Rhinolophus ferrumequinum: one gene and its partners. The protein of the gene in region 3 binds, or shares a complex with, the protein of the main gene of each other region. Links are inferred from orthologs where the notes say so. Each region holds a gene or a part of one and is shown on either strand. Other genes may lie near its edges.

Region 1 (7,061 bases), on a different chromosome or scaffold from region 3:
ACATGAGGTGGTGGAGAAGAATAAGAGCTCTGATTCATGCTTGCTCAGTGATTCTCTTGAACTGGGGTCAGTCTCCTCACGGACCTGGTTCTTAGTTTCCAAGTTTGTAAAACAGGATTAGTTCAGCAGTGTGCTTTGTGGAAAATAAGTCTGTGAGATGTTCCCTGAATAAAGGGTTCTTCCTTTGGAGAATCCAATTGCATGCAAACCTATTTAAGTGTCTGGAAAATCCTCCAGTAAAGGATTTAACTTAATTTTAACCCAGCATTTTCCAAACTTCATTATGGAAGACCTCTCTCTGAAAACATTAACATCTCACAGAATTAAGCATCCATAGAATACCTGGGAAAGAGACACGGGCTCCAGCAGTTCATTTTTCTTTGACTTTGCATTTGATACTGGAGTTTGTCAATAAGCCCACACGAGGCCTTTGAGGAATCTCTGTATTAATCCATATGGCTTAGGTTCTTTGTCATTGATACAAGCTAGGTGTCATAGTCACCATAATACATCCGACTGGCTGGGCCACTCATCATCTCTTAAGAGCTGTACATGAAGCGAGCTCATAGACAACCTGTGAACATCTACTTAAAATCTATGGAATATCTCCAATACCAACTTCAGAAAGATACGCAGTCGGTTCTGACTTACAAAGGCGCAACTTACAATAGTTTTACTTCACGAGGGTGTGAAAGCAATATGAATTCAGTAGAAACCGCACTTCCAAGTCTGAACTTTGATCTTTTCTTTGACTAGTGATAATGTGGTATGATACTCTCTCGTGATGCTGGCCAGCAGAAGAGATCCTCAGCTACCGGTCAGCCATGTGATCACAAGGGTAAACAACTGGTATTCTATAGTGTATTCATTGTGTTAGACAATTTTGCACAACTATAGGCTAGTATAAGTGTTCTGAGCACGTTTAAAATACGCTAGGCTAAGGTATGATGTTCAGCAGGTTAGTTGTGCGAAATGCATTTTCAACTTAGGGGATTTTCAATGTACGATGGTTTTATCGAGATATAACTCTATCAAATTGAGGAGCATCTGTAATATTAAAATGTGAATATGATTTTAGCGGTAATTATGAGGTCAATAATTTGGACAAAATATCGTTAAAAAGCTGAATACACAATAAGAGGAGCAGTCTCTCAGATGTCTTTCTCATTCTTGCTGTGTATAGCTTATTCATTTCTCACCATAAACCAAGTTAATGAGAAATTGAGGTGAAAGGAATAGAAAAGAAACTTAATATATCTAATTTTATGTCTTGTTAGCAACTAAAAGACTCTGATGATAAAAGGCTGGAATGAATAGCTAACATGTTATTTTTAGACGATCTGTAAATTTCATTTGCTCTTATTACCACAAATGATGAAAAATTAACTGTCAAAAATGTCAAAGCAAGACAGCAGAATATGACAAAAACAGGAATTAATCAAGTCACCATCTTCAGGAACATTTTTTTCTGTTAGAATTCTTCAGGTAATATGAGGAAGATAATACCTCATTTCTTCACAACATGCTGTACATCTTCTTACAGGAAAGAGAATGAGTTGTGGTGACCAATGACATTTATTGGAAACAAGGAAACTTTTTGTTCCTAGGCTCCTAATTATATTTACTGTAAGAAAACCTACAGATGATTTACAGGGCTCAAGAGAATTCACTTTTATCTTTATAGCCCCAAATGTACAGATAACTTATTTGTAAATAACTTAACAAGGATCACAATGTCACAGCTGGGATATTTTGTCTTATTTTATTTTGATCACCAGAATTATAACATCTTTTCAACTGGGAAGTGGTGATAAATGCTGCTGTGCTTATTCCTCAATAACTCCATAAAACTGGCATCCTGACATATCAGCCTGGGCTTCATAAAATAAAATGTGGAAGTCTTTCTTTCCACACATCCTTATTGGTATTATGGATTGACTTTTTTCCTTTATTGTAGAACTGCACTTTCTCGAGGGTGGCTGCATTCCTTTGGATGAAATAATCTCTGGAAAATATACATGCTGTTTTATTGAAGGGTCACTAATCAGAGCTTGAATATGTTCATTTTGTGCTTTAATTTCAAGTCCTCATCCCCACCCAGCCACTTTTCAGGCCTTTCCTTTAAGACCACAGAAAGCAAAACTACAGTTATTCAAACTTGGAACTAAGGAAACAAAATAAATAATGAAGCTGAGCTGGATTTCATTCTACCTAGTGTACATTGCCTATAGTGGTATTTACAAGGTGTTTTCACGTGCCAGCTTTTCACATTCGGATCATTCATTTGGTCTCAGAAGAAAAAAAAAAATCACCTGCTTTGTAGATCCAGGGCACTTGTAATTTTCCAACTGGGTTCCCGGTTAGCTTAGCTAATTCTGTGGGCTTCAATGTGCAGTCCACACCTGAAAAGGGGGGGTTTTCAATGTTGTGGTTTATTAAACAGGTACTTTCCATTCACTCAGTTAACAATTAGAAAACAGAAAGAAAAAAGAGAGAGAGAGCCTCCTACTTGTTTTTTAATTCCAAATATGGAGATGGAAACTATTGAACAAGTAAGGAGGGAAACTCCCGCATATTTCACCTTGACCTGGCTGGACTGGTCTGATGCCCGTAAGACGAGGCTGTTCTATGAACAAGGTCAGGCAGGCTGCTAGTGGGATAAGGAGAGGTCAGATTTTACCAGCGGGGATCACTCCTGCCCCTAGAGGGGAGAAAAGAAGCATCACCCTGTGTCTAGGATTGGAAACGGCCTCGTTTTCAATCCGGGGGACTGGTTTCCCTCCCTCGGCCTAGCGTGGTAGTGACAGGACCCAAGGAGGCGTGCGGCTTCCCTGACAGTTGCCCAGCAAAACACCCGCTCCCTGCTTGCACCTAAATTTCCGATCTACATGCAGGCAGAAATGCCCTCCCACCTCCTTTCCTAGCTTCTCTCCCTGTTTCACTGCGCATTGTAACTTCTTTGTTCCGTTTATCAGGAAGGTGATGCTTAAGGTCAAAAGACACTAACTAGCAAAATCCAGAGCCACCACCAGACCCTGGAAAGAACAGGGCTGTTCAGTCCAGGGCTGAGGCTCCGAGTGGGGAAGCAGCGAGAAATTTCGTCCAGCAGCTCTGAGTACAGCCTCTGTGGACTGGCCCAACTCTCCGAGGGTCGGGGAGACGCCGCACGGTCTCGGGGTGGGGCAAAGGATGAACTCCTAACTCTGCAAGTAGAGTGGGCAGTGCGCACCCGCGGAACAGAGGGTGTTGGGGGCGGGGAGAGGCCCCTGGACTCCACTTTGTATGCGGCAGCTGCCGAGCAGTGAGTATCTCTGAACAAAGGAGAGCACAGCGCCTGGGTGAAAGGCTGGGGTTTGCGCGCAGCTGCCACTCGTGCTGAGCGACTCTCTACACCCGCTAGGCGAGCGTTGGGGTGCAGGAATTCGGGGGTGGGGGGCGGACAGGGCGTGCGATTCCTGTTGCGGGGCTACGCCTCAGGAGTTCTTGTGAACGACAGGAATGGCAACTATCAGAGTCAAGGGGGAGAAAAAGAGCTGGAGTGAGCAAAACAAAGAGCGAGTGTGGGCCGCGGTGACTTCATGCCTCACTAATGTCCCGCCCACGCTGATCCGAGCAATGGCTGTTGCCACCCCCTCGCTCGCGAGCGGCCAGAGCAAAGCGCTCGGTAGCGTGGGGCGGTTTCCTAGCAACTCCGGGCCCGAAGCGCTCCCAGCTATCTGAACTTCGAGAGCCCACCTCCCCCACTACCCGGGGCCAGGGCAGGACCACTCCTCCCGACCCCCACCAGCCTGGCCTCCCTTGCATCGGCGCAGGGTGCACCCCAGAGCGCGCCAGCAGCCTGGGCTCTGGACTGTCGGACGCCGGAGTCGAACACCGGGGCCAATAGAACGAGGGCACGAAGCTCCCGCCCGGCGAGACCGGGGTCCTGCACCCCCGCGGAACCTCCCCTCCTGCGCTCGCCCCGGTGCGCTCCACTCCCAGCCAAGCAGGGAGCTGGGATGCCTAGCTCTGTGTCCGTCGGCGCCAGAGGGGGCTTCTAGGGCGCTCACGGAGCCGCCTCCCCCGGCTGCTGGCACCCGGAGCTTCCTTCCTCGCCAACCAGGACGCTGCCACTTTGACTTTGCCCGCTGTTCAGCTAACGAGGCTGCAAAGCAACTAAGTGGAGTTGGCCTCCCTGCCCACCTGTGGAAGAAGCTCGAGCTGATTGATGTCCCATCGACTTTTTTTTTCCCCTTCAGCCTCGCCGGCGTCCCCTCCCACAGATACAGCATCACTCAGTGAATGTACCACTAGGCTGGTTTTTCCCCCTCGCTTCGGGCTTTGTTTGGGTTTGATTGTGTTTGGCTCTTCGTTAAGCTGATTTATGCAGCAGAATTCCCATCGGCTGGGGAGAAACAAAAGCTCTTTTCTTTGTCCCAGAGCGGGCTGCGTAGCCATCGCTCGCGTCGCCGCCCCAGGCCATTGGCCGTCGGAGGAGGTGCTTCTCGCGGAGATTTCGGGACCCTCTGTGCCGAGCTTGGAGGGCCAAGGGGCCCTGAAATGCCGAGCGGTGCCCGGGCCAGCGTACTTTCACCGCTTGCTCCGAGCCGCGGGGTCCGCCTGCCAGGCCTCCTGGAAACGTCCTAGCGACGCTTGGTCCGCGGGCCCCGAGGTGCGCCCGGGAGGCACAAGCGCGCACCCGGAGAGCAGCCAGTTGGAGGACGCGGTGCGGGCTGCTTTGCATTATGTGCCGCTCGGCCCTGGCTTTTTTTACTGCCGCATTTGTCTGCCTGCAAAACTGCCGGCCAGGTCCTGCCCCATTTCTCCGGGCGGCCTGGGTATTTTCAGTTGTTCTTGGACTGAGCCAAAGTGGTAAGTTTTTTGTTTTTGTATGTTTGTGTTTTCCTTTTGTTTCTTTCTCTTCCCAAAGGTCTTGGGATGTCATGAAGAGCATCCTGGCCAGGTAAGTGGCCCAGTGTCAGCCTCCCTCCATCTGCCTCGAGAGAACTTCAGAGGGCGGTGTGTGGCAGCGTCTACCATCGTATGTGGCCTTAGGGAGGCCAGGTGTAAAGCATGTTCCGTCCCGGAGTGACAGCAATAACTAATTATACGAGGAGATACTGTGTTGCTCCCTGGTGTTGGGGAAGCAGTAATGGACTGGAAGTGAAGAAGGGTGGGCGCTCATAATTACAGACGCCAGGTTAGGGGTCCTGCCCATCTTTGAAGCCATCCTCCTTGAAGGCACCCTTAAAGATGCTCCTCATCTTGCTAGCATGCGGGTCTAACCACTGGCTTGCATTTGATTCAAGGCTGACGATAAATTGGTGTAGTGGGAGTGAGTCTTCTGTTTTTGAGTTGCTGGAAGAAAAGGATGATAGCACAAAAGTTTCTTCTATTCCAGTGTTCAGCCTGAATGAATTGAAGTGCAAAACTGTTTTGGATCTTTTCAATCATATGTAAATGTAAGATAGCTCTGCTGGATTGTTAGCAAACAGTAAAACATATAGTAAGTAATAGTAATAACCATCAATTTAGGATGAGTTCGTATTGGTTTTATATATAAGCCAAGCACTTATTTTTGCCAAGGCAATGATTATTGCCATAGTTTTTATTTTTTTTAATTTTATGTACTTTACCAATGTTTGGCCATCCAGCCCTTAAATTCTATTAGAGACTTGCTTGCACTGACCTCTCCTGCTGAAGGAGAATTGTGATTGTTCTATAGACTAAAATTTTCTCCTATGCTTTGAATTGATGTGCCAAGTTTCTGCCTGCAGTTAATTAAAATGGTCAAATCATAATCTTATAAATAAGGGTTTATAATGGAAACATCCAGCTAGCTTCACTTACTTGTTGCATATATAGTTGTTTAATATTTATTTCAAAAGGAGATTTACCTAACAGTTATGTGAAATGAGAGCAAGTAGAGTAAATTTTTATCTTGTGGTTATTTTTTGACTTATAAGTTGACCTCAAAGTAGGTAAAACTTAAGGCAAAGGAAAAAGTAACATTCATTATCAATTATCTCTTAAGTGGAACGTGCACATATTTTGCAGCAGATTTTCCACTGAGCATAATTCCATCCTGTGTTAATAAATGACAAAATATTTTTCTAGATTGAGTAAACACATAAACACACATAATAGTAAAATAACCAAAACTGTCAACAGAGTATATTTTGTCTCCATCACATAGGCAAAGGAAAAAGTCCTAGTTGCCTCTAGAATTTACTAATAATAGTAATAATTTTAAAATATTCATTATGCTTGTAAAGATTAGTCAAGTTCTCGTGTAACATCATTGTATTTCCATCCGGTGACTGTAACTGATTTAAAGCAAATATTATGAATGGGCTCCCTTGCACCTGCAGTAGTGAAAAGGGAATGCTTATCTAAAATCAGAACAAGGCATCCTTTTCCCAGTCTCTGTCAATATACAGAGGTTTCTGATGTATACTGGTTTGCACTGCAGTTAAAACATGCAAAAAATTTAAATTATAGCCAGCACAACTCAGAAAATTAGAGATCAGCATAAACTGTTGTATTTTCGTGATATAGCTACAAGTCTCAAATTATGTGTCTTCACAGTGCAAATTAGACGCTTAAAGCAGAATAGAAATTGAGGTTATCAGTTACAAAGGAAATCTTGTTCCCTTGCTCAGTAGTTTACACCAAGGAAATGTTGAGGGCAATAAAGCCATACAAAAGAAACTATAAACTGCATAAACAACAACATAACTTTGGGTTTAATTTTTAAAGTAGAATTTAGGTCCCAAATACATAGTGAGCAAGAAGGATATTATTAAAAATCTGAATATTTTTCTGATCTAGAAAAAAAGTTACTGGAGTTCATTATTCAACTTTCCCTGGTGGAAATTACCAACAATTAGAGCAGTAACACTAAAAAATGGTTAATGAGTAACTGGAAAACACTTAAGAATACCTAGTGGTTAATATTTAAAGATTTAATGTAGCAGCACTGATGTTTTTACATTTGCTAGTTTTGAATGGTTAAAAATATTTTTAACTAAATTTTTATACAACAGTATAAGAGTGGCAAATTTCAAAAATTCCTATCTCTT
Region 2 (7,768 bases), on a different chromosome or scaffold from region 3:
ATCGTCCTATATAATAGTGCAGAGTCCCCCAGACATTGCCTGCTGTTTTACAAATGGGTCCTTGTAAACAAAGATGCCCAACAGTCCTTTCAGGCCTGTCTTTCCCTCTCCCTATCACATTGCCCTGACTTCTACCACACACAGAGGTTTTGCAGTTTTGCCAAGGCTAACCCCACTTATGGACTTGATCCCATCTCTACTCTTCTCTCCCTGACCTGTTCTGCCAAGGAAAATAGACATATTTATATGGTACTTCACATTTTACAAATGATATTCACATATCAATCCTTTGCTTCATGACCTTGTTCCTCGAAAGAGCAATTGTCTCCCCCGTGTTTATTTCTGTACCCCGTCACTGATTAACCAACACCTGGCAATCTGACTCTTGATCCTATACTTTACTGAAACTGCTCTTTTTTGCCATCATTCTTTCACTCATTCATATAGTCCACATAAACTTATAAGCACCTAGGATGTGTCAGGTTCTGTTCTAGTCACTGGGATAGAGTAGTGAATAAACAAATTTCTTTCCCTTAGGAGCACACAATTTAATTGGGGAGGCAGACAATTAGCAAATAAGTACTATATAATAAGATATTGAGCAGTGACATGAATAAAAAAATTGTGAAAAAAAGGGAAAGTAAGGGAAAAGAAAGTAATGGGTGTGTGTATGTGCTATTTTAGATGGTGTGGTCAGGGAAGGCCTCTTTGAGGAGGTGACATTTGAGCAGAGGCCTAAAGGAAGTTAGGGAGTGAGCTGTTTAGATACCTGGAGACTGATGGGGAGAGCATTCTGGGCCTACGAAAGAACAAATGGCAAAAGCCCTGAGACAGAAGCCTGCTTGGCTTAACAGAGGAGGTGCCGCTTAAATGAGGACTTTATGCTTTGAGTGGAGGAGGTGAGGAAGAAAGTGGTAGGGAGTGAAATCAGAGGGAGCAGAGAGAGGACCAGATCATGCAGGGCCTTGAGCCCATGGTAAGGACTCAGGTTTATATTTGTCAGTTACGAAAAAGCTTTTCTCAATGACCAGTAAGTGACTTTTCCCAAGTTTTTAACCTCTTCAACTGCTCTAGAGCAACTGACACCTTAACCTCAATTCATTTAAGAAAAACTGCTGGGCACTAAGTGCTAGCCTGCTGGGGATGCATACAAATGTGAACAAACCATAGTCGCTGCCTGCCAGGACTCACTGCCCCAGAGGAAAAGCAGAACTGTTCCAATGAACGATGATGCCCCTTGGGCAACACGGGATAGAACCATGAACAAAGTCCTAGTGGGACATAGAGAGATGCCATCATCTCTTACAATTTCTCCTCCTTGATGTGGCCTTATGTCAATTCATTGTCTTCCTTATCTCTTCAGTCTTGCACCCCACACCTAGTTCCATCTCGTGAAGATCCAGTTCAGATGCCACCTCTTCCAGAAAGCTTTCCCTGAAATCTCCCACCACTTGTGTTCTCTTCCCCCATCACTCTCCCAGCACCTTATTCCTGATTTTCCATCATTCCCTTCCATTTTTCTCTGAACTGGACCGTGGTTAGTTGTATGTGCCCCTTCCCCTGGATGTCCCACTGCCAGCCACGCCCTGGCACTGACAGGGTACTTCTTAAGCATTGTGTTACTGCACAACACGAAGTCGTTGATCATATGTTGCTTATGGTCAGTGTTTCCAGGAAAGGAAGAGGCAATGTCCTCACAGAGGTTAGTGACTGGAATTAGTGGCTCAGAGAGGCCGTGGGCTCAGCGTGGGAGAGCTTTGTGAACAGGGAGCAAGAGGAGCTGCCCTTAGGATTTGAGATCCCCTGTCCTCCTCCAGATGGTTAGAGAAGAGGAGTAAAATGTGCCAGGAAGGTCCTTCAGCCAAGCCACCCTCATGTGCCCTCAGTCTCTGCCTTGAACCCTCAGCTCTTCCAGGACTGGCATCATGAGGGGTTCCGATGGGGGTGGTGGCCTCTCCTCTTTCCGTTTTTTTAATTTTGGTTCTTAAAAACTACATTCCAAATGAGGGAAATGAAACTACTAAAGATTCTCCCCCAGCAGCCAGCTGACGTGGGGTAAGAGAACAATTCCCAGTTAACGCCCGAAAGGAAATCCCCTCCCTGTCATGTGCTGAGGCCAGAGAAGCGGGGGAGGCACTAGTTCACTGCTTGGCGAGGCCCAGTTACCAAGGTGAAGGGCTGGGATGGAAGTGCTGCCCTGTCCATGGGCAGGGGCGGCGAACCCAAGCAGAATGGAAAACACCACAGGTGAGCGTGAGAGGACCAAGATCTTGGACCTGGAATGAACTCCCAGTTCCACAGGTAGACCCTGCCACTCCATCGCTGGGCACAATGGACTGTGCTCTTCTCACAGACCCATCTGTAGGAAGGAAGCTGACCCTCATTTCTCCCACCGGATCCTTTGCATACTTTGTCCCCCAACTCAGATGTGTCTCCCTTCACAATCTCTGTCCAGTAGGTCTCCCTACTCCCCGGCCCTGAATAGTGTCTGGTTTTCATCTGAAAAAGCAGTGGGTGGGGAGACAGAAGCCATAGTTCCTTTCGGGAGACTGAGATGTCCTACTGGAGACAAAGCTTAGTTTAGGCAGGAAAAAACAAACCAACCAACAAACAAAAAATCTCAGATGACAATATTTAGAGAGTCGTAGACAGTGTAGGTTTATTGCCCTCCTTTCTTCTTTCCTTCTCTTACCTCCTTCCCTCTTTGACCCAATATTTACTGAACCCCTTTATGTGCATTGGGCAGTATACTTTTTGGAATAGCACGTGACCCCTTCCCTTAAGATACTTACAGTGTAACTGGGGAAATAAGACAAAAATCCTAAAAGTTAAAGCACAATACAGGAGATGTCATGATGCCAGTGGATATTGTAAACATTTGGTACCACATGTTCAGAAGGAGAGGATGCAGAGGGTTGTGGTAGGCAGAGAAGACACTGGTCAACGCAAGGGAAACGTCTGACAGAGGGAGTACAAAGTGGGGAACATTTGTACTGTGTTTAAGGAAATTGTGAGCAGATAAGACTGGATGACACCCACTCGTGGACCATGTGTTTAAGTACAGGACGTAACACTGATGGAAGGCTGGAGGCAAGATCAGGCTGAATAAGGCATCCGGACTTTTTCCTCTAGCTGGGAATTGCCCAGCTACTTCCTTTAACCTTGACACTAAACTTGGCTTTGTTACGGTTGAGCAGGGGGTGGCTATAAACGTCACAACACATGGAGCAGGCTCAAAGAAAGAGGCACACGGTCCCCCAGACTGTCACCATCCCACAAAGGGACGTGCATGGCTGAGATGAACCATGGGTTGTGTTTCCAGAGGAAGTGCCTCCTCTCCTCAGCCGTGTGCAGTGTGGTTGGGAGGGGGACCAGTGCACCCAGCCAAGGTGGAGAATCCTGAACTGTGCGGTCAGGGTTACAGCCTTGCTGGCATGAAAAATGTCCTGTTTTCAGTTGCAAGTCAACATTGGTTTTGGTTGGAAAGTCTTAGGTCCTCCCTGCTAAGACAGCTTGCTGCTGGCTATTGGTGCTATATGACAGCAAAGTGGCTCGTCCTCACACATCCATCAAGACCACTGGTTTTCTAAGTTTTTTAAAGTGGTAAGAGCTGTCTCTCGTAAAAGAAATTCTATGGAGAAACTCAATGTGTCAAACATATAAAAGAGGGATTGCTTGAGATAAGGAGGATATGGAGTAGACAATTTGCTGGATGTTTGGAGCAGGAAGAACTTGCTTCTGTTCTCTTAAGATGGACATGCCAAGGATAAGAATGTTATGCAGAATCACAAATCAGTAGTCTACAGCAGATGCGAACCGACCCTCCAGGACACCTCAGCTCTCCAGATCTCATAGGGAAGAGCGGAACTGGAGATTCCTCCTTTGGCTCCTCCGGTACAGTTGTTCACATTACTCATTCGCCATGCGTTGACTCTGTCAATATTTTGCCTTCTCCACTAGATGGTAAACTCCTTGAGAACAGGAGCTATGAGATGATGCATATAAAGCTCTTAGCACAGTGCCTGGCATGCCTATGATGGTGGCTATTATTAATTCGATTATACTTTTGAAATCTTGGCAAGCACTAAGCAGGGAAATTTTTACACATCAGGTACAAAAAAAATAAAAATCATCCAAGCAGTCTATGATCAAGAAGTTCATGGCACTTTGGAAGTCTACCCCAAAGCAATGTCCATTTCTTTTTCTTCTGTTGATGTGCTTGACACATAAAAGGAGATTATTAATAAAGACTAGCTGAGTGGATGGCTCTTCCAGAAGGTGGACTCTTTCCCAAGTGAAAAACATGTGTCCTACCCGTTCCCAAAGTCTGCCCCAGCTTGACCCTTAGACATAACCTTGGAGAAGAGTTTTCTGGGTCAGCACAGCTCACAGGCAGGGGCCCCCAGCTCACCACCCCTCAAAATCCCTAAGGTGAGAAAGCAGGTGGAACCTTGTTTAGCATTGCTGGGAGACCATAAAATATGCGCCCTCCTTCGTGACTAACCCAGCAGGTAGTCCGGGGGCCACTCTCCCGCCGGCTGCCCTCTCCCTCCCCCCTCACCACCCACCCGTGGCAGCAGTTCCTTCTCCGTTGCCTGCTTTCTGTGAGTGCTGAGTCGCCCCGAGCTGCTCGCTCTCCATGTGACTTCAGTTTCCGTCTGTTCCTTCCGCAAGTGCTAAAATAATCTGATGCCCCAGAGAGAGGAGGCAGCCCAGCCCCGCGTTCGGCTGCTCTCGAGGAGGCCGGAGTCCCGGGAGAGGATGCGCCCGGCGGAGCCGCCTGGGCCTGCGGGAGCCGTGAGTATTTCCTGCGTGGTGGGCAACCGCTGCCCTTCTGGAGGTGGGCGAGCTCGGGCCAGGGTGGGTGGTAGATCAGCGTCCCTGGCCCACAGCTTGCGGCTGACTGGGAAGTTGTGGCTTGCTGCATCCAAGCTCCACCGCTCTTGTGCCCAGTTTGGCGGCTACAGCTCTCGCTAGTGGAACTACATCCCTCTGTGAGCACTCAAGAGCTGAATGAGGTCAAGGTGGTGTAGAGTAGTAGAAACAATTAGGGCTTCAGACTCCTGGTTTGAAAGTTTGATCTCTGGCTCTGTGGGGAGAATATCTGGGTCTCGGTTTATTTATCTGCAAAGTGGGAACAATGGTGCTTCTTCCCGGGCTGGGTGACTGGATGCAATGAGACTACTCTGTGAGTGCTCAGCGTGCTGAGTGCTTGGATCTTATTTTCTGCTCCACAATGTGGACTGAGAGTCAACGTGTCATAGATGAAGACACTGATACTCATTGACAGCAACACATACTTGTGGATGTCTTCCAAGTGCAGGCCTGTTTAAGATGTTGGGGGCAGAGCTGTGACATAGACAGGCAAAGCCCCTTACCCACAGAGTGTCCTTGGGAAATTCACTAGGGTTCGTTACTTGGACCCACAGCTAGTAAGTGTCAGAGGGATACTAGGTCCCAGACTTTTCTTATCCCTTGTCCAGGCTCCTCCATAGCCCTCGCGGCCTCTCCATGTGGGCTGGATTCTGGAAGGTTCAGCATATATCCTCATGCGCTCAGGAGCTGACATAAATAAGTAAGGAGCCACCGACCCGGCTCTGTACTGCCCTCAGAATGGGCTGCCAGCTCACCTCATCCCTGAGAGAAGGTGACCATGTGCCCCACAGTGGCTGGGACTCAAGGAGGTGGAGGCAGGGTCCTAAGAATTAAGCCCCAGGATAGGGCTGGTCTCGGGTGCTGCACTTCCAGGGGAAGTGAAGGGAACCCACTGGATTTTTCTTCCGTGATGGGTGCAGCCCATTAGAAGTTTGGACCGTAAAAACATTTTGAGTTTTAGAGCTGCCCTTCCGAAATCTGCACTCCCTTTACCCACTGGCTGTGCTGCACAGCATCTGCGGATGCCCCTGGTTTGCTGGGGTTTTTGGCCCTGAGACTTATTTATTTGTCTTATACACCCCATAGGTTTTTACATGTATGTCTGAGAGTTCCTAGACAGGATTATAGAACCTTGGGCCCAGGAAAACAAAATACAAAAAGCTTGACTCCTGCCTTTAGGTTAAACCAAACCAAACCAAACCAAACCAAACCAAACCAAAACAAAACAAAACAAAACAAAAAGCCTATTTCACAAAGAGGGTGTTTTCATCTAACATGTTTCTCATGGGACTTCCTGAAAACCCATATAAACCTGAGTCCACATGGTGTTTAAACCCATGCCTCCCAAACAGAGAGTAGGCTCCCCGTGTCTTTGTCCTGGGTCCTGTGTTAGGAATGCATTGCCTATTTGACTCTGGTCTTTCTTTGTCGTGGAAGACTGACATCAGTACTGATTATAACCCGTGTTTGGGCTGCAGTGTGTATTCACACCACAAAATGTAAACCAGACTCTCAGAAGGACAACTAGGTGTGCCCCACACCACGCTCAGATCTACATTATATAACCACGTAAAGTTAGGGGAGGGTAGGCTCTCAACCACGACTGAAAAACATTATCTTTCTCAGGATATGCTTGTTCTATGCTCAGTAATGCTCACTGGTGTGTCTGCACATTAATGATAAATATTTTTGCCTTTGGTAGAACTTTTTTAGTATACTAATTTCCACTCACCCTCCTCCCCCAACTATGCTCCTCAACTTCATCATTGAACAAATTGTCATGGCTCAATGTGTGGGGAGCTCTGGGCTACATTAAGTGATGATGTCTGACAGCAGAGAGAGTCAAGGGGAGGAAAAAGGGACATTGATACTTGGATCTTATCGAGCCTCACAAGCAACTAAATCTGAGTTTAAGGGTCTTTTAGTTGCAAATGACAAAAATCCCATCAGTTTGGCTTCAGCAAAAAAAGAGGATTTGTTGTTTCAAATAATCAAAAAGTCTATGGGGGGAACAGCTGCACACATCCAGATGCTCAAACATTGCCAGGAATCCGTCTGTCTCCATTCCTCAGCATGGCTTTCCTCTGTGTAGGCTTCATTATCAGGCAGGACCTAAAGTTGGTGGCAAAGATGGGTGTCTGAAGCTCAAACCTTAATTACCATCAGTTTGGCATTTGAAGCATAAAAAGAAAGCCTCTTTCCCAGTAAAATCCTTGGATTGATTCTCATGGGTTTGGCTTCTGGGAACCCATTATAAACCAATCACGGTGGTTAGGGGAATAGGAGACTCTGATGGGTCCAGCCTTGTTTATAGGCCCCTCCTTGGAGCCAAGAGTTAAGGTCAGACTCAAACAAACATGGAGTTCTTAATAAAGTAAGATAGTTGATTGCAAGATAATGTCAATATACTTAACACTACGGAATTATACACTTAAAAATGGTTAAGATGGTAAATTTTATGTTCCGTCTATTTTACCACAATTAAAAATTAAAATAATAAAGAAAAGAAAGGAAAGTGTAATTTCCTCAAAGGAGAGTTAAGGAGTTGTTACCAGAAGGAGAAATGAATGTGGGTAGGCAAAACCAACTGATTTCCAGAGCAAATGGAGTCAGGTGCTGAGACAAAACCACATGTGTCTTCTCACTTTAATACATGAGTGGTTTCAGACTGAACAAAGGGACGAAAGGAGGAAGTAGAACCCTGTCGTGATTCTCACCAGAGAGGTGGGCTAGAAGAGCAGTGCTGGTACCAGTGATGGGCTAAATGTGGCTACAAAGTCCTGTGAGGACACAGGGACTCCCCACGTCCAGCCCCAACCCAGAAGTTCACCTTGGTCAGGTGCTATGCCATGTGCCCCAAGCACCTTTCTGCTGCCCCTCCAAGAAAGAAAAT
Region 3 (7,642 bases):
CAGAGTCCCCATTTTGTAACCCCTGCCCCCCAGTGCCAGGGAGAAACGTGGTCCTACAGCCACAAGAGCATCCCCTTCCTGATGGCTGCCTCCGACCTCTCCCTGTCCCGTTGGTGTTCTGGCTCTCATTGCAGGGGCAGCATGGAAGCTCCTGTCAGGCATACGGGAGGGCCAAACGCAGGTGGACACCCCCCAAATAGGGGACATGGCCTACTGGTCCCACCCCATCGACCTGCACTTCGCCACCAAAGGTCTCCAAGGTGGGTTCCTGGCCTGGGCTCTGGACCTGACTGAAGGGAGGGGGGTTAGCAGCACGCCATGCTGCTGGGACTGGGAACACCAAGTCCTGTCCCTGCTCCCATGCCCTGTGGGTCCCTTTCCCGGCCAGGTCTGGTCCTGGAGAGGCTGATCTGCTACTTCCCTGGGCTGGCTCCAGAGTGTGTCAGAGGCCAGGGGTGGAGAGAGAAAGGGGAAGGTGGAGACCAGGGGGAGAGAGGAGGTGGCTTTGAAAGAGACAAACGAAGAGAGTTTTCATTCAGGAGGAAGCTGGGAGGGCTTATAAGAGAGAGGCAGGGCTGGTGGCTGTTCTCAGGCAGAGCTCCTCAGCTGTTCAGAGTGGAAATGAGTATGCGGGGGAGGAATGGTATCAGAAAATCTTTTCTGATGGAAAATTTGGGTCATTAGAGAGCAGTGGATTCCAGGAAATAGCCTAGGTAAATATGCCGTATATTTCAGCAATATAAACAATATTTACTGAGTGCCTGTCCTGTGGTGGGTGATGTCAGGGAGATGTCAGTGATTGAGACAGCCCCCAGCCCTGTCCTCACAGGGTTCACCATCCCATGGGGGAGACAGAGCTGTCCCCAGAAAGTGGCAGCCCAGAGTGGACAGGGCTGGGATGGGCGATTATAGAGAGCTGTGGGAGCCAAGAGGAGGCTCCTGACTGCCAGGGAGTTCAGGGAAAGCTTCCTGGAGGAGGGGATGTTTGAGCTTTGCTGTGAAGGTCCAGTAGGCTAATAAGGCAGAGGGAAGGAAGAGGTTTCTAGGCAGAGAGCTGTGTGCAGAAGGCACAAAGGGTAAAGTGAGCCAGGGCATTTGGAGGACGGAGATAAAGCAGGAGGACTGCAGGGGGTCAGGTGGCAGGGCCTTGAATGTCAGGCTGCAGAGCTGAGGCCATCTCCTGAAGACACAGCAGGCGACTAAGAAGTCAGATTTTGCTTTTAAAGGGTGATGGATTAGAGGGCGAGGCAGGCGACTGTCCTTTCACTCTTGAGACCCCCAGACCCCCTGTGTGGGTATATCATCCTGGCCTCCTCTTTTCCTGAACGCCCCCCTCCCCCCGCCCCATTCTGTCCATCAGGAAATCCCACTGGCTCTACCTTTGGAATGCATACTAAACCTCACCCTCTCCCCTGGCACCTGGTCTGTCCACCCTAACCTCTCACCTGGGCCATTACAGTAGCCTCTTCACTGGTGTTCCCACCCTAAACTCAGGGAAAAACCTAAGTCACGTTCCTCCTGTGCTAAGAACCCTCTACGTCCCATATCTCTCAGGATAAAAGCCAAAGCCTTACCATGGATCCCAAGGCCCGGCATGATCTAGTGCTGTCACCTCCTCCCTGCTCCCTCTCTCAATGGGCTCCTGCCACACTGGCTTCCCCAGGCAGCTCCCATCTCAGGCCTTTTGTACCAGCTGTTCCCCCTGCTGGGAGCACTCTTCCCTAGATGTCCACATGGCCCACTCCTTCTCTCCTTTAAGCATTTGCTCAAATGTTACCTCAGTGAAGCTTTTCTTGATCCCCACCTTTCTAAAACTGCATCCCCACCCCCACCCTACCCACCTTTATTTTTCTCCAGAGCAGTTATCACCATCTGACATACCCTATAATTTGCTTATTTACTATGTTCGTTGTCTAGGATGTCAGCTACATAAGGGCAAGAATTTTTGTCTGTTCTGTTCACCAATGTGTCCCCAGCTTCTGGAACAGGGCCTAGCACAGAGGGGCTTAGAAAGGAGGGTGAAATGGGACTGGATCTCCAAGGGCTTTGTCTACCAAGCTGAGGAGCTGAACTGTAGTCTGAGGACAGTGGGAAACTTATGGAGGGGGAGATAGATGCTTCCAGATGCCAGGTGGAAGGTGGATTGGAGGGCGCAAGAAAGAAGCCTCTGAGCCCAGAGAGGACAGGGTGGGCCAGGGTGTGGGAAGAAGGGAGGTGTCCAGGACAAGGCCCACGGTACTTACTCATCTGGCGACTGGGCCACACTGAGATGGAAACCAGAGAGGGAAGTCAGCAGAGGCTAGATCCAAAGAGCCTTGAATGTTGAGGTGGACTTTATACCAAGGGCACTGGGGAGCCATGGAAGGGTTTTAAGCAGTGGAGGAACATGGATTCAGAAACATCCCTTTGGCTGCCATGTTGAGGTGGGAGTCCAAAGAAGAGGCTGGGGAAGAAACCCAGGGGGAACGGACTACCTGAGGTCTCCAGTGGAGATCAAGGAAGTGGGGATCCACAAGCTGGAGACCCGGCTGTCCCATCCCTTCTTCCCTCCCTCCTTTCCTGCAGGCTGGCCCCGGCTCCATCTCCAGGTTTGGTCCCAGGACAGCTTTGGCCGCTGCCAGCTTGCAGGCTATGGCTTTTGCCATGTACCCAGCAGTCCCGGCACCCACAAGCTGGACTGCCCCACGTGGCGGCCCTTGGGCAGCTGGCGGGAGCAGCTGGCACGGGCCTTCGTGGGTGGTGGCCCTCAGCTGCTGCATGGGGACACCATCTACAGTGGGGCTGACCGCTATCGCCTGCACACAGCCGCCGGTGGCACCGTGCACCTTGAGCTGGGTCTACTCCTGCGCCACTTTGACCGCTATGGCGTTGAATGCTGAGGGACGCTGCCTCACGGGCCCCCATCCCCACTCCTGGACACCCAGTAAGGGCAGGATGGCACAATAGTCAGAAGTCTGGGCTCTGGAAACTGTCAGACCTGCCCGGAGCCAAGGCACACTGCGACTTCTGTCTTGGCTAGCACCTCTGAAGCCCAGTAGCTGTCCCTCTGGGGCCTAGTTTCCCTATCTGTGAAATGGAGACAGCAATGTGTGGGGTCCCAGGGGTTTGGAAGAGAAGAGGCTGCCTTGCACATGGAAATGTTCAATAAAGGAAAGCAGTTCTGACAGGTGTGGGTGTCTTCCTGACCTGTCAGATGGCCTGTGCCCTGTCCTCCCACTGACACCCTCCTTCCTCAGGCCCCCACCTTTTGACAGACCTGCATCCCCCATCCTTCTCAAACTCTGATCTCCCCATTCTGGGTGCCCCTCTTATGACCCCTCTCCTTGGGGCTCCCCTTCCTCTGTGCCCTTCTCCCCACTAGGTTCCCCCATCTGGCTGACCTTCTCTCCAGCTTCCAACTCTATTCTGCGTCCCCTCCTCTGATTCCCTGTCAACTGTGTCCCCATCCACTGATTGAGCCCTCCTCCCCAGGTCTTCATTCTCTCGGTGACCAGCCGCCTCCCCCGCCCCGTCCCCACACACACACACACACAGTCTTCAAAGCCACACGCATCCGGGTCGCCCGCTTTGGTAGCGCTCGGCCGCCAGGAGGCAGCACCCTGTTCGTGGGGCGGGGCCGGGGTGCCCGCCCCCTCCCCCGGGGCTTAAGGGACCCCCCTCAGAGCCCGCCCACGCGAGCTGAGAACGGTGGCCCGGCCCCCGCATGCCCTCACCCCTGGGGGCCACCCCCGCCCCGCGCGCTTCCTGGGTGGGGCCGGGGCGGCTTCAAAACCCCCCGCCGCCCCAGCCGGTCCCCGCCACCGCCGCCGCCCTTCGCGCCCCGGGCCGTCCCACCCCCCTCCTCCCGCCGCAGATCCGCCAGACAGCTAGGCCCCCGGCCGGGGGCAGGGGGGACGCCCCCTCCGGGGCACCCCCCCGGCTCGGAGCCATCCGCCGGGTCGGCCTCAGCCGGGAGCGGAGGAAGGAGCCGCCGAGGAGCAGCCCGAGGCCCCAGAGTCTGAGACGAGCCGCTGCCGCCCCCGCCGCCGCCACTGCGGGGAGGAGGGGGAGGAGGAGCGGGAGGAGGGACGAGCTGGTAGGGAGAAGAGGGAAAAAAGTTTTGAGACTTTTCCGCTGCCGTTGGGAGCCGGAGGCGCGGGGACCGCTTGGCGAGGCGCTGCCGGGCGAGGAGGCAGCACTTGGGAACCGCAGACTGCTCCCCCACCGCCTCGGAAGCTTGCTTCCTCCGTGCCTACACGTCGTCCCTCAGGCGCCCCCATTCCGGACCAGCCCTCAGGAACCACAAACCCGACTCCCGCGAAGACTTGACCCCAAGACCTCGGGCGCACGCCCCTCTCCTGAGCTCCCGCGCATCCAAGGACACTTCTCCGGAGTCTGGGAGACGGGATCTCTCTCAGACCTGCCTCAGCTTCCCTATTCGAGACCACCCACCTCTGGTACCAGATCGCGCCCATCTCGGGTTTTTCCGTGGGATACCGAGAAGCCACCCGCTAGAGCTTCCCTTCCGTCCTCCGCGAGGGCCTCAACTTCCCCCTCCCCGCAGGCCCTCCTACCTTTCCACGGGAGACCTCCCCCCCAGCCCCTGTAGGGGTGGGGCCTCCCTCTTCGCATCCCAGCCCCGCTTGCGCTCTCGGCAGTGCCGGGGGCGCCGCCTCCCCCATGCCGCCCTCCGGGCTGCGGCTGCTGCCGCTGTTGCTGCCGCTGCTGTGGCTACTAGTACTAACCCCGGGCCGGCCGGCCGCCGGACTATCCACCTGCAAGACCATCGACATGGAGCTGGTGAAGAAGAAGCGCATCGAGGCCATCCGCGGCCAGATCCTGTCCAAGCTGCGGCTCGCCAGCCCCCCGAGCCAGGGGGATGTGCCGCCCGGCCCGCTGCCCGAGGCCGTGCTGGCCCTTTACAACAGTACCCGCGACCGGGTGGCCGGAGAGAGCGCCGAGCCGGAGCCGGAGCCGGAGGCGGACTACTATGCCAAGGAGGTCACCCGCGTGCTAACGGTGGAAAACAGCCACAGTGAGCTCGGAGGGGCAGGGGATCCTGGAGGGGAGCCCCCAGCGGGCGCCGGCGTGCTGGGGTCGGGGAGGAAATAACTAGCGGAGGAAACTGGAGAGAGAGGACTCCTGGGGGCGCTGGGAACGTGGGACGGAGTCTCAAAGAGCTCCCTCCACCCCCAGGTGTCTGGTCTTGAAGAGGAGATAGTGAACCAAGTGGACAGCTTCTAGAGAGCGACCGGAACATGCAGGATCGAGGCGCGGGAGTCCCCTAGAGGGAGAGAAGCAATGGGGGAGGGGTAGAAAAGACTTTCGGCTACTGGGTGCACTAGAGTGTGGGGGTCGTGGGATAGGGGCTGAAGACAGGGTGCCCGCTTTGGGAGAAGCGAAGACCCCATTTCTGAGCAAGGAGAAGCAGTAGGGAAAGCTGACGCAGAGCTCAGGGATCGTGAGGCGAGAAGATTAAAGAAGGACAGAAAAGCTAGGTAAAGCGAAGCCCGGAGGTGCCAGGAAAAGTGGACCAGTTTACAGCAGGCGCCAGGAATACGCGGGATTGGGGGGTGGAGCAGAGAGACGGTTGGGGGTGAGAAATGCGGGGAAGAAGTGGGCGCGAGTTCGTAGGAAGAGGGAAGCTAGCGGGAAAGAAGCGGAGACCTCTGGGGTACGGGGGATGCCCGGGGAGGTGCCCTGAGTACTTCACAGGTGGACGTGCGAGGAGGAAGCCCAGCTGAGGAAGCGAGCCCCTAGGAAACCTAGAATACTGGGTCGTGGGAAGGGGTTTACAGAGAGGAGAGACGCGTGGGAAAGGTGGACCGGGAGAGGGGCGGAGGAGAGATAAACGGTGGCCTACTGGGAGCGGCGAACCCTCCACACCGCGGATGGAAGGCAGTGGGCTGAGCGAGGAGTCCAGCCGCAGGGGGAGAGGTGGTGGGTGCGACTCTGCAAGATTGGGGTGAGGAAGCCCCACGTGGGTGCCACGCGCGGGGGAGTGGGGAGGAGCTGCGCGTCCGGAAGTGGGGAGGAAGAGAACCCCGCAGCTCTAAAGGCTGAGAATCTGGACCCCAAAGTGCCAGTTCCTCTCCGGGAGGTTGGGGAAACCCCAGCCTCCGGCGGCCTCTCCCGCCCTCCCTTCCCTTTCCTTCCCGTGCCCTGGGGGGCGGGGATCGCGCGAGGGGCCTGGGGCGAGACGGGGCAGGTCCGGTCCCCGCCCTCGCAGCGCCAGCGCCTCCGGCCCTCTTCACCCCAGCTCCGGGCGGGGCTACCGCTGGGCCAGCCCCGTCGGCGCCCACTCGGGTACCCCGGCGTCCCAAGTGGCCCAGAGGCTCGGGGTCTCCCTCCTTTAACTTTCCCTGTTGGGCAGTGGACTTGTGGGTCTCCAGCCCTTTTGTGCGCCCAACTGTGGCTCCAGTCAAATGACGCCCATCTCCACCCCTGTCTTCATCTCACCTTTTTTCCATGGTTGCTTCACCATCATTCTAGAGATTTCTCTACATTGTAGAGATTAACACTGATACTTTCAATCCTCTCCTCACAGACCGTCTCCATCTCCTCCCCAAACCCTCTGTCTCTCTCCCCGTGTGTCTCTCTGTCTCCTATCTCTGTTTTTCCATCTCTCCCGCATTTTCATTAGTCTCTCTGTCCGTTTGTGGGTCTCCCAGTTTCTGGTTCTGCACCTCTTCCCTCTCTTTCTCTTCCTCCTCCACACCTCCCCACCTTTCCCTGTCTCGCGTTCTCTCCCTCTCCCTGTCTGCCTTTCCCTACCCATCTTGTTACTCTTCCTCCCTATCTGTCTCCCCACCAGGCTCTATCCTTCCTCTGGGGGTTGCTGAGTAACCGCTGGGCCAAGATAGGGCTTATTGTGGGGAGGGGCTGGTCTGGCTAGAGGGGGGAAGAGTACGGAAAGGGGGCCCATAGAAGGGGTTACCTTTTACCTTTCTCATCAGATCCTGTCTCCCATTTTCGCACCCACACTACAGAGGCCTAAAATAGGTGCCCCAGTTGATCCGGGAGTTCATGGCCTGCCCTCTCAACCCCACCCCCAAACTTTTCTGAACTAGTAAACACTCTTCCTAATTTTCTAACCCCACTAAGCCATTCCTACCTAAAATGAACTTTGCCTTCTCTAACCAGCTAAGGGAGGAAATAATTAATAATAATAATAATAATAATAATAATAATAAATGTCATATTAACAGGGAGGCTGCATACCCTAGTAGTTGAGAGCGGTTGAAGTCTGGAACTAGACTTCCTGAGTTTGAATCCCTTTCTGCAGCTTCCTAGCTATGTGACCTTGGGGCAAATTTCTTAATCTCCTGTGCCTAGGTTTCCCCCTCTATAAAACAGGTATAATAAATAATATGTTCCTCCTGGGGTTGTTGTGAAGTTTAAATGCGAAGTGCTTTGAATATCGCCTGGCAAGTAGTGAGTGTGCTTTAACACGCACATTAGAGTGACCACTGTGTGCAGACTCTGTGCTACACGCTTCATCTTATTCGTGTCACTTTCTTTCACACTCTCACCCTGCAGTCAGTCGTTCCTTGTTTTACAGGTGAGAATCTGGCACAGAGAGAGGAATTCATTTGCCCAAAGTTACATAGCGCTTCAACGAGGAGAGCCTGGGTTGGAAGGCAGGGAGCTTGATGTGGAAGCC
Region 4 (7,124 bases), on a different chromosome or scaffold from region 3:
TTCCCCTCTCTTAATTGCATTATGTACCTTCTAAAACCATTTATTCATTTACTCATCTATTTACTTAATATTTATAGAGTACTTGTTTTGTAACAAGTACAATGCTAGACAATGAAGACATAAAATTCATCCATTTACTTGATAAGTGTTAATTGAATACTTACAAAATAGCAAGCATTATGCTGCTTGCTGGGAACATAAAGATAACTAAGGCCATCCCTGCCTGATACCTACTAAGAATTCAATAAATGCTTGTTGAATAAATAATTGTCTTGAAAGACCTCACAGCCTAGTGAAGGAGAGAGGCAAGGATTTAGGCAATTAGAAGCAGAGTAAAAAGGACTATCTTGGGGAAAGTTGCACAGAAGAGAGACCTGGAGAGAACAAAGTCGTCTTCCCGTGGGAAGCTCCAGTAATGTCTACACTGAGACCTGATGGTGAGTTGAGTTAGACAAGTGAGAAGGATGAGAAGGAGCCAAGGGCCTCCAGGCAGCACAAAAGCCAGACACAAAGGCTTGGAAGTGAAGGAGTGGCTGCAACTGGGAATTGAGAGCAAAAAAGCAGTGCAATTATGATTTTAGGGACTGGATGGAAGTCTGTACACGGGATAGTACAGGGTCCTTGATTTAAACACAGGTCACATTGAGCGTCTGGAGTTGCCCAGGACCTTGTAGTTGCTGAGTGCATCCAGTTAGCAGAGGAGCATGGAGATGGTCGGGCAGTGGTCCACACCACTCCCACTTATGTCCCTTTGGCAAGAGCTAAGTCACTAGGGTCCTCTGAAGTGCAAGACAGGTAGGGAGAAGTAGTCTACCTATGCTCCCAGGAAGAAGAGATTTTGATAGCGGCTAGAACCACAGAGAAAAGTTTCTAGGGAGTGGGCAGATGGAGAGTTGTGCGGGCATTCCTGATCCCAGCTCATCCTCAGTGCCTGGTGATAGCTTCCAGGGAGGTCTGTGGGCAGAGAGATGACTCAGGATCTGAGGAAAGCTCTAGAATCCAGGGCAACACTGGTTAGTCCAAGGCATTTCAGGCACTCTTGTGGGATGCAAGGTGTTATCTTCCAAAATGAGATTTTAAAATGTTCAGTCTATAGAAAAAGGGGAATTTCAAGAAGGAAATTGTTGAGAACTGTGAAGTGCTTGAAATTTTACTTGTAAGCTAACAAGTTAGATCATCACAAATTCATAGATGCTGACAGAGAAATGAGATGCCAGGGTCAGAGGTAAAGGACTTTAAAATTCACAGAGATAGCAGTGGCCAAAGAACCAGCATTTTCTTCCATCAGCATCCCAAGGCCAATTCCCACAGGGGAACCCAAATGGGAAGAGGTGACATCTGCACATGTGGTGGTCTGTGTTACAAGAGAGAAACCCTGAGCTTAGGGAAGCTGAATCTTTTATAACGGGCAGTAAACACGCCTGCTCCTGGTTCTGGAGGGTAACACTCTATCTTCCCAATATGTAAGAAAATCTGCTCCTTAGTCTGGAGGAAGACATAATCTCTATTTTCAAAGGCTGTTCACTTTACAAACATCCTTGAAAAGATAATCTGGAACAAAGGCAGTCAGTGCAATATTTGGAGAATTGTTTTCCAACAAAGGTACGTTCCTTTTTAGCAAGAAGGAGTGTTCTTTAAATAGAGGCTTTGTTTACTTGATCCTTCTCCTCCTGACTTGTAGATACTGGGCTGGCCCCAAGGCTCAGTCTTCAGAGCTCTCCCCTTTCTTGAGGATCTCATTCAGCCTAATATTTTTAAATTTTATCAGTTTTATATCTTTAAATTCATGCTGATGATCCCAAATTTACATCTGCTACTTTAACATCACCCTATTTGTACACTCAGGTAGCAAACTGCCTATATGACATCTTCACTTGGTTATCTTCTAGGTGTTTCAGAATTAACATGTTCTTGAGTCTCATCTTCCATACGAAACCTGATCCTTCCCCAGGGTAATCTCTCTCAGGAAAGTGTCGTACACTCAGATGCTCAAGCCAGGGAACTCGCTTTCTTCCATATCTACATCAAAGCACATCCTGTTTTTAAATTATATCCTGTCTGACTACTGTGTTTCCCCGAAAATAAGACCTAGCGGGACCATCAGCTCTAATGTGTATTTTGGAGCAAAAATTAATATAAGACCCAGTCTTATTTTAATATAATATAAGACCGGGTATAATATAATATAATATAATATAATATAATATAATATAATACCGGGTCTTATATTAATTTTTGCTCGAAAGACGCATTAGAGCTGATGGTCCCGCTAGGTCTTATTTTCGGGGAAACACGGTACCTTGCCTCTGTCCTAGACAATAACCATAAATTCCTAATTGGTCCCCCACCTTCCAATCTTGCCCCATACATTCTGACTGCTGAGGAAGCTAGACTGATTCTTTGAAAATACAGATTAAGTAACATCATTCTCCTGCTTTCAACTTCCCAGTGACATTCCAGTACATTTGAAATAAAATTCAAGGTCAAGAATACATAGGATCTGACCTCTGCCTCTCAATCTGACCTCACTTGCTACCACCCGCCCCCCTCCTGTCTTGCCCTCCACTGTCCTTGAAAATGCCCAGCATTAAGGTGTTTCAGGGCCTTTGTACTTTGTTGCCCAAGTCATTTAGGGTTTTGTCTGATGTCAGTTGAGCAGGGAAATCCTTTCTGACTATCCTCAATAAAATAACACACCCTATCTATCCCTCTTTCCTTTTACCTAGCTTTATAATTTTTCATACCTCTTATCACTGCCTGAATTTAAGAATCTGTCTCCCCACTACTGCTCCCCAACTTAGAATATATGCTTCACCTGTCAAGTACTAGGATTTGTTCACTGACATATTCTCTGTTTCTAGAGCAATATTTGGCACAAAGTAGATGCTCAATAAATATTTGCTGAATGACTGGTTTAATAAATGAACAAATGAATGAAAGCTAATACTGGATACAAAAATGGAGGCAATATCAGGGACACAGATACTTTGTGCCTCAATCTTTCTCTTCAAACTAAGTCAACTGATTTCATGTACTGTATTTTTCTCCCAAAAGGCACATTTCTAATTCTTTAATATTCCTGGTTTCTCTCTACAGGATTCTTACCATGTTCTTCCAGGTTCCTATGTATGATGGAGTTCAAAATTGAACATAGCCTTCTGAGAAGACCCTGAACAGTCTATAATTAATTTTCCTTTCTTCACAGGTTTCAAATGCTTGCTTAGAAATGCACTTTTAAACAATAATCTCACAGGATTTAAGCCCAGCCACAAAGAAGCCTATCTAAGGTCAGCTAGGTTGGAGAGGAACAAAGCGAATATTTGATTCTTACCTCTTTGTAGTCTCTGCAAATCCCAAAACATCCTCCTGAATACATTAGGAAAATATATGTAATCAATCTCATGAATTTCACCGTTGACTGTATAGATTTTAAGTTTGTCACTCTTTTGTTCAACAAATAAATACCTCCTATGTGCCAAGTGGTGAGCTGGAAGCTGGGACAGTACATGAAAAAGGGCACTTGGCCCCTGTCAGGAGGGATTCAGAACCTTGGGCACCACTGTTTCTGTTCTCTTTGTTGTTGTTTTGCAACTAATTCTGGTGAAATTTGATTTTAATATATTATATTTATTTCCAATATTGCTTTTTAAATAAGAATTCTGTACTTATGGGAAAATATCTTTCATCCAATTTGAAAAACAAGGGAGCAGAATGTTTTGCCTGCCTTCTAAATTGACTTTAAAATGGTAATTTTTATTTTTCAGGGTTCATTTCAATTTTCTGAAAAAGATTTAACAATGGAATACAAAAATCTCAGGTATTTTATTTTAGCTAATTTTTAAAATCCCCTTACATGTAAGTTATATATTTGTGTTTTATTTATCATCTTTACTGTTTTTATTAAATTCAAATGATTTTAGAAGCAACTTGAAATCAGATTTCAATTGCTCTTTTGACATTTCATTGACCAATATTTTACTAAAAGTATGAACTTTCTCTAGGATGCAGAGAGACTAATAGAATTTACACAAAAATTTCTACTGAATGAATTCCCCCACCTTCTTGGTGATTGTACACCTGCTTCCTTATAAGGAGAACAAGGAAGTAAATCATGTTGAAGTTGCTTTTAAGCACACCTTTTCTTCTTTACCTGTCCAGGTAGCCTCTGTTTTCATTTCAGTCTTAATGAAAACTTTTTCATTTACATCTCAAGTTTCTTTTCAAAGCAGTGTAAGTAGTATTTAAAATTTTACACTTCGAGAAAGAGACTTTTAACGATGTTCAGCTTTGGTCTTGTAATGCTGAAGGTAATTCATTTTTTTTTAATCTGTCTGCACAGCGAGAACTGAAACGAATGGGGATTGAACTGCTTTGCCTGTTCTTTCTATTTCTAGGAAAGAATGATCACGTACAAGGTAAGACCTAAGCTCTCAGAAATATTGCTTTCGTGGTATGCTTGACAAACCTGTCATTTGGTTCAGAAACTAGATCTGAAGTCATTTTTTATGTGATCTGTTTGATTGCTTTTTTGCCATTGAGCGAACACTTTAACAAATCGCAAGCAGACGCAGGGCTGTTCCCACAGCAAATGCTCTAGGCTTAAGGTAAGTAAATACAAAGGTTGTATTGGCATTTTAATGCAGCATTACTGCACAATAGAACTTCTTAATACCTTTGTGGGAACCATTTTGGTAACTTTCCTAGCTATTTTATTGTACAACAAGGACTTCCACTTAAGTGTAATAGCCTTGAGAGAGAAAAGGGATTTATTTTAAAAATAAAAATGCAGTACATGGAAGAGAAGATTTTTAAATGGGTGCCAATAATTTTTAAAAATTAAAGTAGACGATAATGAATGAGGATAATAAATATGATGATTCCATGTTTGTGAACATTAAGATACTTTTGTATCTAATATTTTAAGCAAAAAAGAATGATCCTTTCTGGGCAATAAGGCATACGTATTTTCAATGTGATAGATATAAAATACGAACTTTTCTATGAATTGCTAACATTTGAGGACTGATCTCTGAAGACTAAAATAAACTTTGATGTTGCTTTGCTCAAGTACTTTAAGAGGCATAAGTCTCGAAAATGGAGTGACTGAGAGTTTGCTGATTCTGTGTGTCTTGCTGGGTTTAAACACAGGTGGCTGTGCCATGGGAGGTGCAGAAACCTGTGAAGACTGCTTACTCATTGGACCTCAGTGTGCCTGGTGTTCTCAGGAGGTAAAACAAATGACCTCAACATGTTTGTAAAAACCGCAGTTACACTTCTGTTAAAGCCCCCAGTGGTGGCTCTGAAGGTGTCCTGCTTTCTATGGGTTTATAGGAGTGAAACAAATCTAGAAAGGAAAATGTACGCCTTAGTCACATCCGTGACTACTTTCGAAAGCAATTTGCAGAGGGAGTGAATGTCAAATTATTCAAAAATATTTAACTCGGGATCCTTTATTTAACCTGATTCCTCCTGTTATTTTAAAGCCATTTCTAACTGCTTACATGTCAAATGCCGAGGCTTGGGTCATCAGAGATCATGGAGATGATATTTTTCTAAAGCTAAACATATATTTGACTTCAGTATCATAGGTGTATTCCATCTGGGAGCCAGGATGCATTCTGAATCACTACTAGGTTCTAAGGGAAGTGTTGTAGGTTTAGGGTAAACTTTACTGTTCAAACATTATCCAGTTCTTTTAAAAATTACATTTGCATGTGCTTGCTGACTCTGTACGGTAACAATGACAAAGCCCGAAGCTGACATTCTTTATCTGATCAAAATGAAAACTATGTGAAAGTAGTGTAAGAAGACTGGGGCATGTAGCCTCCTGAGACAATATACAGCAATCTGTAAATGATTCTTGGTAAGAAAGAGCTGCCTTAGCTCTTTTTGGATTTAAAACAGTTCTCTACTGAATCTCACTAAGAGAATCCAAACACCAATCAAAACATTACCAATGCCAGTTTCAGCAAGGGCTGATATCATGCTCAAAAGGAACAACCTGGACACCCGACTCTGGACCAGGCTAGAGCTGTTAAAACCCACCTGCCAAGTTAAATGTGTATCTGTGGTCTCTCTGACCACAGAGCACAAACGCAGCTCCCTCCCCACTCCTGCCTGGACTGATGAGGCACAAACTAAAGTGAGACGGAATTTTGCTTTTCTTAAGCTCATGTATCAAAAGTTGGTTTGAGAATATAAAAGAGGGGGAAAAAAACCTATGTTTTTACAATGACTCGCTGAAAAAGGCAGTGTTAGTTTCATGCTAGAGACATACCACAACAAATCAGTCTAACATAATGCTTACTTCTGGAATTTTTATTTAAGTGCATTTTTTTAGCACTCATTTAAGAGAGTTTCTTAAGTTACTACTGATAACTTTACTTGTGGATGAAAGTCGGTAGCCAGTTGTCAAATTTTAAGGCCAGATTATTCTAAAAGTTCTCTCTAATGGTATTGGTTATATAAGTTGAGGCATTTGCAGCAAAAAGTAAATTAGACTTCTGCTTAGCGCAGACAGAAAATAAGTTCTATGGTTAACCCCAGCGCTGATCTTTTGGCAAAGACAGTGATTAAAGGTGGTTGCAGTGACACTGTGTTGAGAAGGATTCTGAGGCTTTCTCCAGCCTGTTTGCCTCTGATACATCAAGGGAAGTTACAGAGTTTGCTACATGTAGCCTGGGGCCACAAATATGCACAGGCCTGACTGATATATAACAAATTATATTCTCAAACATCAATTCCAGAAGGACTATATCTTTCCTAGTTGCTGAAAACAGCAAGAGTGACTTAGAATTCTAAGAAATGAGGAAAATGACGTGAACATTGGTTTGCCTTTCTCCAAGCATGAGAGACTTTGACTTTGCTTAGAGCCTCACAAGCTCTAGAGCAGCCTTAGCTATCAGGTAAGACAGGTATTTATATCACCACTCCATCTTTCTCTTCTGGGTATTGCAGGGTTGGAATGGCCACATCTCAGCCTGGAAACATTCATGTCGCTGCTTCCCGCTACCCAGGTGGATCCAAAGGGGACTGGGAAACTCCTGAGTCTCACATAGAAAAGCAATCTTCTACACCATGCTCTCTTTCCCTTCCTGTCCCCACCTCCAAAGCTTGGAGAAAGT

The links.
Region 1: the proteins of TGFB1 (region 3) and ITGB8 are in contact, whole or in part, in a cryo-EM structure (PDB 7Y1T), measured with the Homo sapiens proteins. The link is inferred for Rhinolophus ferrumequinum from reciprocal best matches to the Homo sapiens genes TGFB1 and ITGB8. Residues at the interface, in NP_000651.3 of Homo sapiens: His117, Thr241, Arg243, Arg244, Gly245, Asp246, Leu247, Thr249, Ile250, His251, Gly252, Met253; in NP_002205.1 of Homo sapiens: Ser156, Ala157, Ser158, His160, Asn161, Asp213, Tyr214, Asn215, Leu216, Gly248, Asn249, Ile250, Asp251, Thr252, Glu254, Gln286.
Region 2: the proteins of TGFB1 (region 3) and NRROS are in contact, whole or in part, in a cryo-EM structure (PDB 7Y1R), measured with the Homo sapiens proteins. The link is inferred for Rhinolophus ferrumequinum from reciprocal best matches to the Homo sapiens genes TGFB1 and NRROS. Residues at the interface, in NP_000651.3 of Homo sapiens: Leu30, Ser31, Thr32, Cys33, Thr35; in NP_940967.1 of Homo sapiens: Phe194, Glu195, Ile196, Glu197, Gly198, Gly199, Phe201, Leu210, Leu212, Pro218, Cys219, Ile220, Val221, Asp222, Phe223, Gly224, Leu225.
Region 4: the proteins of TGFB1 (region 3) and ITGB6 are in contact, whole or in part, in a crystal structure (PDB 5FFO), measured with the Homo sapiens proteins. The link is inferred for Rhinolophus ferrumequinum from reciprocal best matches to the Homo sapiens genes TGFB1 and ITGB6. Residues at the interface, in NP_000651.3 of Homo sapiens: Pro70, Gly71, Pro72, Glu75, Leu158, Asn237, Gly245, Asp246, Leu247, Thr249, Ile250, His251, Met253, Asn254; in NP_000879.2 of Homo sapiens: Ser142, Ala143, Ser144, Asp146, Asp147, Pro196, Cys197, Ser199, Ile200, Pro201, Tyr202, Lys228, Lys231, Ile232, Ser233, Ala234, Asn235, Ile236, Asp237, Thr238, Glu240.

What each region holds. Positions count from the first base shown.
Region 1 is NC_046303.1:19,498,491-19,505,551, reverse strand, and holds the start of ITGB8 (integrin beta-8), read left to right. Parts: upstream 1-4,050; 5' UTR 4,051-4,724; coding exon 4,725-4,851; intron 4,852-7,061. UniProt on the Homo sapiens protein: Integrin alpha-V:beta-8 (ITGAV:ITGB8) is a receptor for fibronectin. It recognizes the sequence R-G-D in its ligands.
Region 2 is NC_046285.1:50,893,188-50,900,955, forward strand, and holds the start of NRROS (transforming growth factor beta activator LRRC33), read left to right. Parts: upstream 1-4,754; 5' UTR 4,755-4,797; intron 4,798-7,768. UniProt on the Homo sapiens protein: Key regulator of transforming growth factor beta-1 (TGFB1) specifically required for microglia function in the nervous system.
Region 3 is NC_046298.1:39,655,248-39,662,889, reverse strand, and holds the start of TGFB1 (transforming growth factor beta-1 proprotein), read left to right. Parts: upstream 1-4,624; 5' UTR 4,625-4,659; coding exon 4,660-5,014; intron 5,015-7,642. Other genes in the region: B9D2 (B9 domain-containing protein 2), read left to right, coding at 132-260, 2,566-2,879. UniProt on the Homo sapiens protein: Transforming growth factor beta-1 proprotein: Precursor of the Latency-associated peptide (LAP) and Transforming growth factor beta-1 (TGF-beta-1) chains, which constitute the regulatory and active subunit of TGF-beta-1, respectively.
Region 4 is NC_046291.1:62,160,779-62,167,902, forward strand, and holds the start of ITGB6 (integrin beta-6), read left to right. Parts: upstream 1-4,112; 5' UTR 4,113-4,185; coding exon 4,186-4,230; intron 4,231-4,339; coding exon 4,340-4,415; intron 4,416-5,148; coding exon 5,149-5,228; intron 5,229-7,124. UniProt on the Homo sapiens protein: Integrin alpha-V:beta-6 (ITGAV:ITGB6) is a receptor for fibronectin and cytotactin. It recognizes the sequence R-G-D in its ligands. Internalization of integrin alpha-V/beta-6 via clathrin-mediated endocytosis promotes carcinoma cell invasion.